Neurospora crassa OR74A: one gene and its partners. The protein of the gene in region 2 interacts with the protein of the main gene of each other region in a pairwise test. Links are inferred from orthologs where the notes say so. Each region holds a gene or a part of one and is shown on either strand. Other genes may lie near its edges.

Evidence for each region.
Region 1: the proteins of NCU01318 (region 2) and NCU06738 interact in binary tests that used the Saccharomyces cerevisiae proteins (3 or more experiments, as listed by UniProt). The link is inferred for Neurospora crassa OR74A from reciprocal best matches to the Saccharomyces cerevisiae genes SEC23 and SEC31.
Region 3: the proteins of NCU01318 (region 2) and NCU06868 interact in binary tests that used the Saccharomyces cerevisiae proteins (3 or more experiments, as listed by UniProt). The link is inferred for Neurospora crassa OR74A from reciprocal best matches to the Saccharomyces cerevisiae genes SEC23 and SFB3.

The regions. Positions count from the first base shown.
Region 1 is NC_026502.1:2,091,246-2,095,459, reverse strand, and holds the start of NCU06738 (protein transporter sec-31), read right to left. Parts: upstream 2,852-4,214; 5' UTR 2,429-2,851; coding exon 2,223-2,428; intron 2,162-2,222; coding exon 1-2,161. Other genes in the region: NCU06739 (peptidyl prolyl cis-trans isomerase Cyclophilin), read left to right, coding at 3,589-3,909, 3,984-4,100. UniProt on the Saccharomyces cerevisiae protein: Component of the coat protein complex II (COPII) which promotes the formation of transport vesicles from the endoplasmic reticulum (ER).
Region 2 is NC_026505.1:3,643,840-3,648,203, reverse strand, and holds the start of NCU01318 (protein transporter sec-23), read left to right. Parts: upstream 1-1,547; 5' UTR 1,548-1,864; intron 1,865-2,024; 5' UTR 2,025-2,227; coding exon 2,228-2,320; intron 2,321-2,386; coding exon 2,387-2,517; intron 2,518-2,573; coding exon 2,574-3,348; intron 3,349-3,410; coding exon 3,411-4,364. Other genes in the region: NCU01319 (hypothetical protein), read right to left, coding at 1-35, 93-173, 238-403. UniProt on the Saccharomyces cerevisiae protein: Component of the coat protein complex II (COPII) which promotes the formation of transport vesicles from the endoplasmic reticulum (ER).
Region 3 is NC_026507.1:587,771-592,191, forward strand, and holds the start of NCU06868 (Sec23/Sec24 family protein), read right to left. Parts: upstream 2,853-4,421; 5' UTR 2,420-2,852; coding exon 1-2,419. Other genes in the region: NCU06869 (cleavage and polyadenylylation specificity factor), read left to right, coding at 3,496-4,421. UniProt on the Saccharomyces cerevisiae protein: Component of the COPII coat, that covers ER-derived vesicles involved in transport from the endoplasmic reticulum to the Golgi apparatus.

The DNA of each region.
Region 1 (4,214 bases), on a different chromosome or scaffold from region 2:
CTGAGTGGCAAGCCTGACACGGTTGCGGGCTGTCTCCGCAGGAGGGTAGCTGGTAGGCAGAAGATCGAGATACTTCTGGGCAACCGACAACTGGCCATGAGCAGCCGCAATGTCAGCATACTCGAGGTATTTATCGTACAGAGCGGCCAGCTTCCAGCCCTCAGTGAGACTCGTCTCGCTGTCGTTGAACTTGGTCACATGGCGAAAGATGGTCACCTTCTCGATGAACTGCTGAAGGGACTTGGCATGGACCGAGAAGGTGGAATCACCGGCCTCCTCATTCAAGGCAGCTTGCTCAGTCTCCTGAAGCTCGTCCACCCAGAGACCGACAACCTTCTCCAGCTTCGAGCCGATCAGGTAGCAGAAAGAGGCATCCTTCCTGTTACCAGACTCCAAGATGCGGTCACCCAGGGCCTCGCAGAGGTCGGGGAACTCGGAAGGATCAGCATAGGTGCAAAGGGTAACCATGGTCTCCTTCCAGTCGGCAAGATCCGCGTTGTAGGCGATATCCCACAGGTTCTTGGCTACAACAGAGCTGATGAGCCGCAGATAGCTGGGGCTACCTCTCTTCTGTTGGAGATAAGCAGTCTGAACCTTTTCCACAAGCTCCTTGCTGCCGCAGTTGGCGATCAAGAAGGCATCCGACCATCGTTCCTCCTTCAAGCAGATCTCTACCGCCTTCTCAAACTTGCCCAGGATCAAGGCCCTGGTGATCTGATCCTCCAGGTGAGTGTTGCCCACGCTCAGAAGGTTAAAGGGGTTGTCGGTCTTGGCTCCCTTGGTAGCGGCGATCTCAGACAGGAAATCTTCGCCATCGTCGCCGTCTCCCCACATGCTTACAACACGCCTATGCTTCTTGGCCTCTCCGCCGTTAGGCTTCAGAGATGCAGAATCCTCCTGCTTCGGCTCAGGAGACATGGGTGACTCGGCCTCCTTAGCCTCCTCGACCGGCTCGTCCTTGATGAAACCAAGACGCTCAATGATCTTGGTCCGCCCATCAGACTCACTGAGGGTCTGCATCACCTGCCACTCAGCCTTCTCCTCGTCCGTCTTGGCGTTCTCGATATGCTCTTCGCAGATGCTCGCAATGTCGCCGCTTTGAATGGCTTGTTCGAACTTGTCGGTTGCGGAGCCAATGTCGGAGTCGATGGAGAAAGAGGAGATCTGCAACTTGGAAGACCTCTTCTGGCCAGCAGCTGTCTCCACCTTGTTGAAGAAGACAAGCTTGCCACCGAAGCCAAAGGAAACGCCAACGGGGCGTTCGATCCAGGCGGGTGCCCGGGGCAGAGAGAAGGAAGCCGCCTGCGGCTGGGACGCGGCCTTTGAGAAGAAATCGTCATCAGAAAGGTTGTTCTGGGCCGCGGGAGCCGCCGAGGGGTTCGTGTTCTGGAGGGTCTGGATAGCGATCTTGCCGTCAAAGGATGCTGTGGCCGACAGATTCGGGTTGTGGGGGTTGAAACGGGTGTAAAAAGTCCAGTTGGTAGCCTCAGGAAACTCTCCATAACGCTCTCCAGTCTGAGGGTTCCAAATCAGGGTCCGGTTGTCCTTGCCGCAAGAAAGAAGCAACCCTGCATCCTGCTGGCACCACGAAAGCGACAAAATGCCCTGATCGTGGCCTTGGAGCGTCTTCTCTGGCGCTTGGGAGTTGCGAAGGTTCCAGAGCAGGATGACGGGAGCGGTATCATCGGATGAAGCCGTCAGGAGCTTGGTCGAGTTCTCTGGATCCCAAGCAATGGCGCTGACAGCCTTGCGATGGTTGTTCAAGGTGAGAGATGCCTTCTTGGTCTTGAGATCCCATACGGTAACAAAGCCTCCTGCACCACCAGTGGCCAGAATGTTGGCGACCTTGGGATTCCAGGCCAAGCAATCGATATCGTGGGCGGCAGCGGTGCCGAGGCGGAAGGGAGCCGAGGTGTCGTTCACATCCCAGACGAACAGCTCGCCCTTGGCACCGGCAGTAGCGAGTACTTGGGGCCTCAGAGGGTTGAACTGTAGGGCCTTGATGGGACCAGTGTGCTTGGTGGTGCGCGAGATGAGGGCGTCCTCGCCGGCGATCAGCTTCTCGGCGTCCCATAGATCCAACGAGCCGTTTTCCATGGCGCCGGCAATAACTCCCCGGGGATGTTCGTCATTGGGCTGGCCCCATGCGATGTCGTAGAACCTATATGCGTCTCTGTTAGTGCGCCCGAAGGGTAACTATGTGTTGAAACTCTCACGCATACCTGGACTCTGCGGTAATGCTAGCTATAGGCTGGAGCTCCAGGCCCTGTTCCTGGCTGTCCAACTTGAGATCCCATAGCTCCAACTTAGTCTCGTCTGAGAAGTCGGCATCGACGGCACCTGACCGGGTACCCGTTACGAGCAGGGGGTTTGCGCCGGGCGACCAAGCGAAGGCCGCAGTCCGGGGGATCTCTCTCAACCGGACCATGATTGTTTATATGTTGTATGTGAATGTCGGCCGCGGGTGGTGATGCGGCTACGCGGGCGGTGTAAATCGGTGGGCGAAAGAGGGGAAATCAGGGGAAGCTGAAGCTGGCCGCCTTGGTCGAAGGGTGGGAGGAGAGTGCGGGTGGCGTGGATTAATTAAGGTTGGGGTGGGTGGGTGGTATTAGAGCTCTAGATCGTCAGGTCGTGCAGTTGGACATGAAAAGAAGTAACAAGACAAGACGACGACCAAAGCCCCTCCGCGATTGAGGCTGTCTGTGGTCGGTGTCGTGTCGGTCTGTTGGGAGGTTGTGATATGGATGGGATCGAAGTCACAGTGAGTAGAGGCGGGTAGTGCTGCTGTGTTGTTAGAGGCGTTCGGAGCAGTGAGCTTCCCGTCTGCCCGTCCATTGTTGCCAGATTGCGGATACATAACAGCTGCCCCCCCCGGCCCCTGACGTTGGCACCACTGGACTTTCCCTCTTGCTGGCTTCAAGGCTGATGCAACCCACACGGCACAGCTCAGGGGCAACAGCAAGATGAGAGCCCGGGCCAATCGATGTTAAACCCTAACCCTTCGTTTTCAACCTACACTACATTCGTACTGACAACTGTGACCTCTTTCCATCCACATGGTGTGGTGACTAGACTATATATACACATATCCTTCAACAATATCCAAATAGCTATATATTCTGGTGTGAATCATCAGCACCATTTCTACCTGTGCTTCCTAAAGCCCTCAAACCGAACTGTGGGAGAACCCCTTCTTGATGACGTACAAGCGCCTGGTGCATGAACTTCTAGGATGGCCCAAGCTTCCCCGCTGTCACGATAGTGGGGTCGCGACTTTTCGAACTTCAACGTTTCTCCCATGTCTCACTCGCTATTACTTAACGACATCCAGCACATGAATGATCTTTGTACATAACCTACACATCGACAGTCATTACTCACAAGAGACGTCACCAAGATAAGGATCACACTTAATTCATCAAAACAACGATATCCTTTTCTTTGCGGCAGTCATCCAGCCTCGTCAAAACACAACACACGTTAGACCTTCAACCTCGGCTGAAAGTACACAGAAGCTACAGTCACTTTCATCAAGAGGCGTCTCAAGTCTTACTTCTGTGACTGATTGTTTCCATAACAACACCGATCATGACAGACACTACGCGCTGGAAAGCCACCGTCCACATTCGCGGTCTTGCACCCGCCGTGACGACAGCCACCATTCACGACGCCTTCATTCCTTTTGGCGAGATCGCCGATATCTCGCTGCCCAAGAATGAGAAGCCCGACTCAACGGATCCGCACAGGGGCTTCGCCTATGTCGAGTACGAGGATGAAGAAGACGCTAAAGAGGCCATTGACAACATGGACCAGTCCGAGCTGTTTGGCAGAGTAATCAGGGTCTCGGCGGCAAAGATCCCTAAGAGCGCGAAAGAAGGGTTGGGATCCAAGACTGCCGTTTGGGAGCAGGTAAGTTTCGTCTATGGGGGATGATCGGGAATCACAGTTTATACCTAGACTCATACTAATGCGCTGGCTCACAGGAAGGATGGCTGGCTGAGAATGCCGTCAGTGAGGAGGATCGTTTGGCTGCTACTGCGCCTGATGACCCTATGCAGGGCCTCGAGGGGCTAGATGTGGCTGGACCGAAACCGCAATAAAATCGGTCATTGCTTGGTCCGTCTTCAGCAAATGGACTCTCCCCGGCAAGGGTCGGGGGGAGAGAAGCGAGTTTCTGTGTTGATACCCGGAAAGAAAAGCATTGCATGGCTAGG
Region 2 (4,364 bases):
GTCCTGGGACAAATCGATAGAAAGCAGGGAGTTCGCTACGGAAGAGTTAGGATATTCCATAGTTTCAAGAGTTAATGCGTGGAGAGTCTTACAGTATTGAAAGGTGATGTCAGTACCGCTGTAGTACGAGACCTCACCGCCGTCAATGTACACGCGCCCGTTTAAAACCGCGGCTTTGGTTCGATTAGCCAGATGGTCATGATGCACTGAGAAAAAGACAATGACGGCAATGCTCACACGATTGATAGCCTCTGCGCAGAAATGTCGAGGGACTGATAGCACCGTTAACCTGTCGTGGAAGGATGATTGATTCATCTGCCTTGGGTAGGGTGATAGTGCTACCCGCCTGGCAAATCCACGGCTGTATTACACAGCACAGAAGGGAAGTCGACCTCCTGACCATGATGACTGATTTCAGAGGGCAACAAGAGAGAGAAGAGAAGAATGGGAGAGGAGGAAGAAATTTCTGAGCAAAATGCTACGCGTGTCAGCTTTCTACCCACGAAAAGGGCTAGCTCCCCTGAAGCGCCATCGAGACATGGTGGTAGGTGATGATCCTATAGGATCCGACTGTAATTATAAACGAGGTCGGGAGAGGTGAGCCACGGTAATATCACCGTGGACTGTCAATGGTGCCTGTTGACTGCTACCTGGCGGCTGCTCGGCCCCTTTCGTATCTTAGCGTACCCAAGGGTTGCATCAAGTCAGCACTACAGTAGGAGATAAGGCTGATCCCTACTCGTCGAGTAACAAGTAAAAGTGAGCCTGCTCAGAACAGAGAGGGTGATCACCGGAGAGCGGGCGTTTGTGCGATGCAGCACAGCCGCGAGTTTACCATCTGCTGGCTTGACTGACTGAGCCTGCGAGCGAGCGAGTTGTTTGATTGAGTTCCCCCGCGACAGGCGGATTCTTCAGGATAACCCGACGGTAACACAAAAAGGTATTTTGGTCGTGCTCGACACAGTGGGCTGAAACAGGATGGGGCGAGCAGGGTACGGTTCTTGAAGAACACCAAATGCTGGCATGAGTGGTAGGATCGACACAAGACCGAGCATTAGGACAGAGATGCGAGCAGGCTAATCAGAGCTAGCCAAAACTCAACGGCCAGCCGGCCACAGGTCGGAATCATGACTGGAGCCCAAGGGTAACGGAATCAAAGCTTGACGTCTCCCGAGGCGTCGATGGTGAGGGCAAGCATACGATGCTGAATAGGTACCTATTCAATTTCCATGTCGAGATGTCGCGATTCGCCAATGTTGTTTTTCATTCATGATCCGACGCCGCGGGAACATCACTGCACCGGGAAAACACTTGGTACATCCGACAATTTCGTGCTGACGGAACAAAGGTTGCAACTTGCAGCTTGGAGATGCAGTTTACCACGGCGGCCGCGGTGGCACGGTGAGGTAAGTGGTGATTGGCGTCAGCTCGTCGGCTACGCACCAGCTGGCAAGCAGCCTCCCGTCGTCTGTCAGCAGAGCTGCCCCCTGCCTTTCGATGGAGGGGAACGAGGTACCTGTCCTTTTCAACAACTGGAGGGGAGCAAATGACAACAGAGCCGCAAATCAGAAATTGATACTATCGCCTGTTGCAGTCGGCTTCCATTGCAGTAGAAGCGATTGGGGTATTTCTGAACATTTTGATCCCATCACCTTGTCGCAAACGACTTGACCGATTGCAGAAGAGCAGCGCGTCGTTAACTCTGTGATCTTGCGCAGGGCTTCCTGGACGACAGTCAACACTTTAAAGTGGACCTTGAATTTTCAGGAGCGTCGAAAAAGAGGTTCTTCAGTTCAGTTGTTGCATCTTCCTGGCGACACACCACAACTGGGATCCCGTCCATACCTTATTGCCTCCCCCCGCGGTATGTACTCGCACGGAGCCCGCTTTTCCCCCTAGCTTCCACATCTAGCCTCAGGTCCCGCCTGCCGCAAGACAGCTGCTGTGGACTGTGTGGTGGACGGTGGATGTCTCGAGTGTCTCGTGCGTTCCAGGTCTCGGAGCTAATGACACCTTGCACGTAGCCGCCCGACGACGTTGCCCGTTGCCCGCCGCCCGCCCCGTACCTATCTCTGGAGCTACCACCGCGTAGACGACGGATCATCCACATTAATTCCCTTAATCTTCTAATCCAACAAACCGCCGACACCACCATCACCCCTCTCCAGCTGTTCCTCTCTATCCCCGACTGCGACCATCGACCGAGGACGCCGCCGCCGACATCAACATGGATTACGAAGCCCTCAAGGAGCAATGGGGCGAGGTCGAGGACCGTGATGGCGTTCGTCTGAGCTGGAATGTCTTCCCCAGCACCCGCATGGTCAGTTCCGCTCTTTCGCATACTTGCTACTTCGCGTCACCCCTTTATCGCTGACCCTTTCTTCAGGAAGCTTCGAGACTCGTCGTCCCCATCGGCGCCCTTTATACCCCTCTCAAGGAGAAGCCCGACACGCCTCTGCTGCAGTTCGACCCCGTCAGTTGCAAGCAGCCCTGCCGCTCCGTGTTAAACCCCTACTGGTGAGCCATCTTCGTCGCCCCGACTTGTCGCGCCCATTGCTGATACCCTCGCCCAGTCAAGTCGATGTGCGCGCCCGCCTGTGGATCTGCCCCTTCTGTCTCTCGAGGAATCCTCTCCCGCCACACTACAAGGACATCACCGCAAATGCGATTCCACCCGAGCTGCACCCTTCCAACACTACCATCGAGTACAGGCTCTCGCGGCCCGCCCCCGCCCCTCCGATCTTCCTCTATGTCGTCGATACGTGCCAGGAGGAGGACAGCTTGGCTGCTCTCAAGGAGTCGCTCATCATGAGCTTGAGCCTATTGCCCGAGCACGCCCTTGTCGGCCTGATTACATACGGCACCATGGCCCAGGTCCACGAGATTGGCTATACCGAGTGCCCTAAATCATATGTTTTCCGCGGTAACAAGGAGTACGCGGCCAAGCAGGTCCAGGAGATGCTTGGGCTCGTACAACCTGCCATGCGTCCGGGCATGCCTATGCAACAGCCTGGCAGGCCCTTCCCGGCCGGCCCTGCCTCAAGATTCTTGCTTCCGGTCTCTCAGGCCGAGTTCCAGTTGACCAAGGCCATTGAGCAGCTTCAGAAGGATCCCTGGCCTGTTGCCGGTAACCTCAGAGCCTTGCGCTGCACCGGTGTTGCGTTGTCCGTAGCTGTTGGCCTGCTCGAAACGTCGTTCCAGAATGCCGGTGGTCGCATTATGCTCTTTGCTGGTGGTCCGGCCACTGAGGGACCTGGCATGGTTGTTGGCCCCGAGCTGAGGGAACCGATCCGCTCCCATCACGATATCGACCGTGACAACATCAAGTATTACAAGAAGGCACTCAAGGTACGTTCATCTTCAAGTTGTGGTGCAGGAAACAGTCTGTGTCATGCTAACATTTATTATAGTTCTACGACAACCTCGCTAAGCGAACGGCGCACAACGGCCACACTATTGACATTTTTGCCGGCTGTCTTGATCAAGTTGGTCTACTTGAAATGAAGGGTCTGTGCAACTCGACGGGTGGCCACATGATTCTGACGGACAGCTTCACCTCATCCATGTTCAAGCAGTCATTCGTCCGCATTTTCGAAAAGGACGCGGATGACAATCTGCTCATGGGCTTCAATGCGGTTTTGGAAGTACTTACAACGAAGGAACTCAAGGTTACTGGGTTGATTGGTCATGCAGTCTCTCTCAACAAAAAATCGACGTCCGTCGGCGAAACCGAGTGCGGCATAGGTAACACTTGCACGTGGAAGATGTGCGGTATCGACCCCAGCTCCAGCTACGGTATCTACTTCGAAATCGCCAACCAAGGCGGCCCGTCCCAGAACATGCAGAGTCCCCAAAAGGGAATGATGCAGTTCTTGACTTATTACCAGCACTCGTCTGGCCACTTCCACCTTCGGGTGACCACCATTGCCCGAAACCTCAGCGGCCCCGCCGGAGACCCGGCCATCGCGCAGTCATTTGACCAGGAGGCAGCAGCCGTGCTTATGTCGCGTATCGCTGTTTTCAAGGCGGAGGTTGACGATGGGCCTGATGTGCTCCGGTGGGTTGACCGCATGCTCATCAGGCTCTGCGCCAGATTTGCCGATTACCGCAAGGACGACCCGTCATCGTTCCGCTTGGAAAAGAACTTCACGCTGTACCCACAGTTCATGTTCCACTTGCGTAGGAGTCAGTTCTTGCAAGTCTTTAACAACTCTCCCGATGAGACCGCATTCTATCGGCACGTTCTCAACCATGAGGATGTTAGTAACTCGCTCATCATGATTCAACCAACGCTCGACTCCTACACCTTCGACCAAGAAGGCGGTGTCCCCGTTCTGCTCGACTCTACCTCCATTCAGCCTACC
Region 3 (4,421 bases), on a different chromosome or scaffold from region 2:
GGTTCTTGCGGTAGAGGGCAAGGATGTCGATGGTCTTTTCCGTGAGAGAGGAGCGGACTTCCTTGAGGTTGGCGCTGGTGGTGGAGAGCTTTGTGCTGGCTTCCTTGGCCAGGATCGAGACGATGGCGTCCTGGTCGATATACTTCATGCAGTCGCGCGCTAGGTCAGAGACGCCGGCGATGACGTTGATGCAGCGCACGCGACGCTGGCCCGAAGCGGTGGTGTAGAGCAAGGCGGCTTGGAAGTGTGCGTCCAGCTTGGAGTCGAGCTTGCCGTCGTAGCCAAAGGTGACGGCCAGAGCCTTGTCAGCGTCGATGACGCCAATTTCGAGGTCGGCGCCAAAGGTGTGCTGGATGAAGTTGCCGTGGTAGGCGTTCACTTGGAGGCCGTTGGAGCAGCGGACCTTCATAAGGGCCGCGTAGCCCGTCTCGCGCCTGACTGCGTGGTGGATCTCCAAGGAGAGCTTGGTGCTATCTCGCTGGACGACAAAGTTGGGGTAGAAGAAGGTCTCGCCACCGGTTGTCGAAGAGACATGGCCAATCGTAGCAATATCCAAGTAGCCGCCAGATGGCGAAGCCATGAAGAAATCGGCACCAACACCCAAAGAAACCATCTTTTCGGCCAACTTCCTCCAGCCAGGGTGCTCGGTAGTGAAGAGCTTCTTGTCAGGCTCTCCACCTGGGTGCTTGCCGTCGTCCCTCATAAAGAGACGGCCAGGACCCCAAGTGGGCAAAGCCGCAAGGGAGCAAAAGACCTTGCCGCCCGTCTTCTCAAGCGCAGCAACAGCCGAGTTCAGTGCGGACAGCAGGGCTGGCTCAGGGTTCTTGATGTTGGAGAACATCTGGGGCAAGCGCGTCAAGAGCGAACTAATGACAGCCTTGGACTCGTAGGGGTCCACAAAGAGACCATCGCTCAGGGGCAGGAAGGGGTCCTCGATGTCGGGCATCACAATCATCTGAGCCTGCTCGAGCGCGGGGCTGACATTGTAGAAGTGAATCTCCTGGTCGAAGGTGACGAAGCCAACCTTGGCACCAGCGGGAATCTTCCTCTTTGGCTCTCCGGTCTCGTCCTGGTCCTCGCCTTCCTCCGAGCCACCGTACAGAGCACTCAAGATGCCTTCGCAGAAAGACTCGAGGAAGCCCTTGTTGTAAGACTCTTGGGTAACATCAATAACGAAGAGGTAGCGCATGCCGACGGGTTCCTTGGTCCAGTACTCCTTGGGAACAACAAATTCGACGGTTCCGCGGGTCAGCTCGGGGCGCTGGTCGCGATCAACGCGGACGCCCTGGGGGCTAAGAGCGCAAAAGTACTCGGGAGGGGTATCATTAGCATAGGTACAAAGGTTGCAGACGAACTTGTTGCCGCCGGCCTTGAACATCATGAAGGGGTTCATGTAAGCTCTGCACCTGTGGCAGCGTGGCGGGCCCTGTTCGCCAAAGTCCAGGACGGGGATGGGCAGCTCGCCAGGCTGGGTCTCGGCCAGGGGCTGGAGAAGAAGACCCAGGGGCAAGCCGGTGCTCTTGAGACCCTCTGCGCTTGCCGGCAGGTTGGTCATGGTGAGACGGGCAAACTTGGGCGACGAGTTGCCCTGGTCGAGGGCAACGAAGGACGTGACAGCCGGGGGTGGGACGAGGCGCTCAAAGGTTGGGTATACGTTGGTGTGGAAGTAAGGCTGGACGGCGTCGCGAGAAAGGGGCACGCTGGGGGTATCGTCTGGCGAAGGCTTGCCGCCCTGAGGACCGCCGGCAGCAAAGACACCGGAGCCAACACCCTGGGTAGCGTCCCTTGCGGCGAAGTCGGCGGCAGAGGTTGGGACGGGGCCGAAAGCTGGGCTGGCGGGCATGGGGAACTGGCCATGGCCCGGACCTGGTATCCTGCCGGCGAGGGAGGGGTCGGCGTTGAGGAACTGGGTTGCAGGTATCCCGGCGGGGGGCATGCCGTTGAAGGGCTGGGACGAGCCGGCGGGGGCCTCGACTGTGTGGAAAGCATGACGGTCCTTCTTTTTCTTTCTTCCGTGGTGATCGGCGGCACCAGCTCCAGCACCCAAAGACATGCCACCCATTTGCGCAGCCAAGCCTACATCATCCATTGGCGACACGGGAGAATGCGCGGGAGGGGCGCCGTAGGGAGAGGGGGCACCGTATTGTTGTTGTTGTTGTTGTTGTTGTTGATGGCCGTATTCCTGACCATACTGCTGCTGGCCGTACTGCTGGCCGTACTGCTGACCATACTGCTGACCATACTGCTGCTGCTGCTGCTGCTGCTGACCGGGAGCATTGTACTCGGCGCCAGGGTGATATGGGTTCGGGGCAACTGGCGGTTGGAACTGGGGAGGCGCCGGTTGTGTGGTGCGGTTGGGATCGTTGGGGTCGAGGGTCTCCCCCTGACCAAGGGCGTGGTACATGGTGTAGTCGGCCATGTTTGGTTTGTGGGAAGGGTTGTATTAGGACTAGTATGTCACCGTCGTCGTCGTCGTCGTCGTCGTCGTCGTCGAGTGGTGTTGTTGTTCGTGGTCGCTGCTGTCGTCGTATATACGTGTGTGCTATGGTATTATGGAAGATAGGGGGGCGGCGGCGCCTCTTCGGACGAAGGAGCTTGATCGAGATCGGGTCAAGGTCGGGAAGAGCAAGAAGTGGAAGGACGGTCGTTATCGGAGTTTGTTGTTATTGTTGTTGTTGATCATGCCCAGCAGCAGCAGATGTGTCTAGCTATGTCGTCGAAGCATCACCTACCGCATACTAAGGTACATCCAAGTGGAAGTTTGTTGTTAGTGGTTGAGGCCTGGGGATCGGAGTGGCAGAGGATATAAAGTGGGCGACAGTGGTTGTTTCCCCCGGTGGAGGTTATCTGGCTCTATCGGGACCGCTCCAGTCCAGTGTCACCATGGATGTCGAGCTGTCCTTTTCTCGTTTCCATGCGCAAGTGGAAGGCAGCCCGCCCGGGGCCCAGCCATGGAAAAGTGGGGCCGCGATGCTGCCGTGTCAATCGCCGGGTGTGTCAGTCCACTGAACAACAGCGCATGTGCCCCCCCAAGCTGCCCCTGAAAGTAGGTACTAAGTACACTAGAAGTGGAAGCAAGGGAATGCAGGTTCGACAACGCCTTGGTTTGAGGAAGCTTTGCCGGCTGCCAGCCAATCACATGGGCACTTGGCAGCCAGCTGTGACCTATCTTTCATACATTCAAGAGGTACAGTACTTACAAGTAGTGCTGCACTACCTACCTAGGAACCCCCCCTGAATGGTCCAATTGGGCCCTGTAACCGCATCTCTCGGCTGTAAACCGCCAATCCAGCATGGGTCAACAGAGCCTCTTGCAGGCGCTTTCAACGTCCCGTCGCCAAACAACAAACAACAAACTCCACTAACAAAACATCATCACAACAACATTTCCATCCACACCCTACATCATCATTCAGACACCCTCCGGTCTGATGGAGTGCTTGGGCGGCTCCCACCCTTACCACCACAGGTAGTCCGACAACAAATTGAAGAAAAATGTTCAGCTTCTGCCCGCTCCAGGGCGCCCTCTCCGACTCGTCAGCCTCCCAGTCGCTGCTGGAGCTCGACGGCGGCGTCAAGATCCTGATCGATGTCGGCTGGGACGAGACCTTTGACGTCGAAAAGCTCAAGGAGCTCGGCAAGCAAGCACCGACTCTGTCCCTCATCCTCCTCACCCACGCCACCGTCCCCCATCTGGCCGCCTACGCCCACTGCTGCAAGCACTTCCCACCCTTCCAGCGCATTCCCGTCTATGCGACGCGCCCCGTCATCGATCTCGGCCGTACCCTGACACAGGATCTCTATGCCTCGACGCCCCTGGCCGCCACCACCATATCATCGGCCTCGCTCGCCGAAGTGTCGTATGCCTCGGGATACTCCCAGGCCGCCTCCGCCGAAAACACCTTCCTCCTCCAGCCACCCACTCCCGAAGAGATCACAAAGTACTTTTCTCTAATCCAGCCGTTAAAGTACTCTCAGCCACATCAACCGCTGCCGTCGCCCTTCTCCCCGCCTCTGAACGGACTCACCATTACCGCCTACAACTCGGGCCGCACCCTCGGAGGAACCATATGGCACATTCAGCATGGCTTGGAGTCGATTGTCTACGCCGTCGACTGGAACCAGGCCCGCGAGAACGTGTTTGCCGGCGCTGCTTGGCTAGGTGGAAACCATGGTGGTGCCGGAGGTACACAGGTGATTGAGCAGTTGCGCAAGCCAACCGCCCTGGTATGCAGCAGTCGTACTCCAGACGCCGCCCTACCGCGTGCCAAGCGTGACGAACAACTTATGGAGTCGATCAAGCTGTGTATTGCCAGAGGTGGTACCGTCCTTATCCCCGTCGACTCGAGCGCCAGAGTATTAGAGCTGTCATACCTTCTCGAGCACGCCTGGAGAAAAGAGGTCGCCAAGGACAATGACGT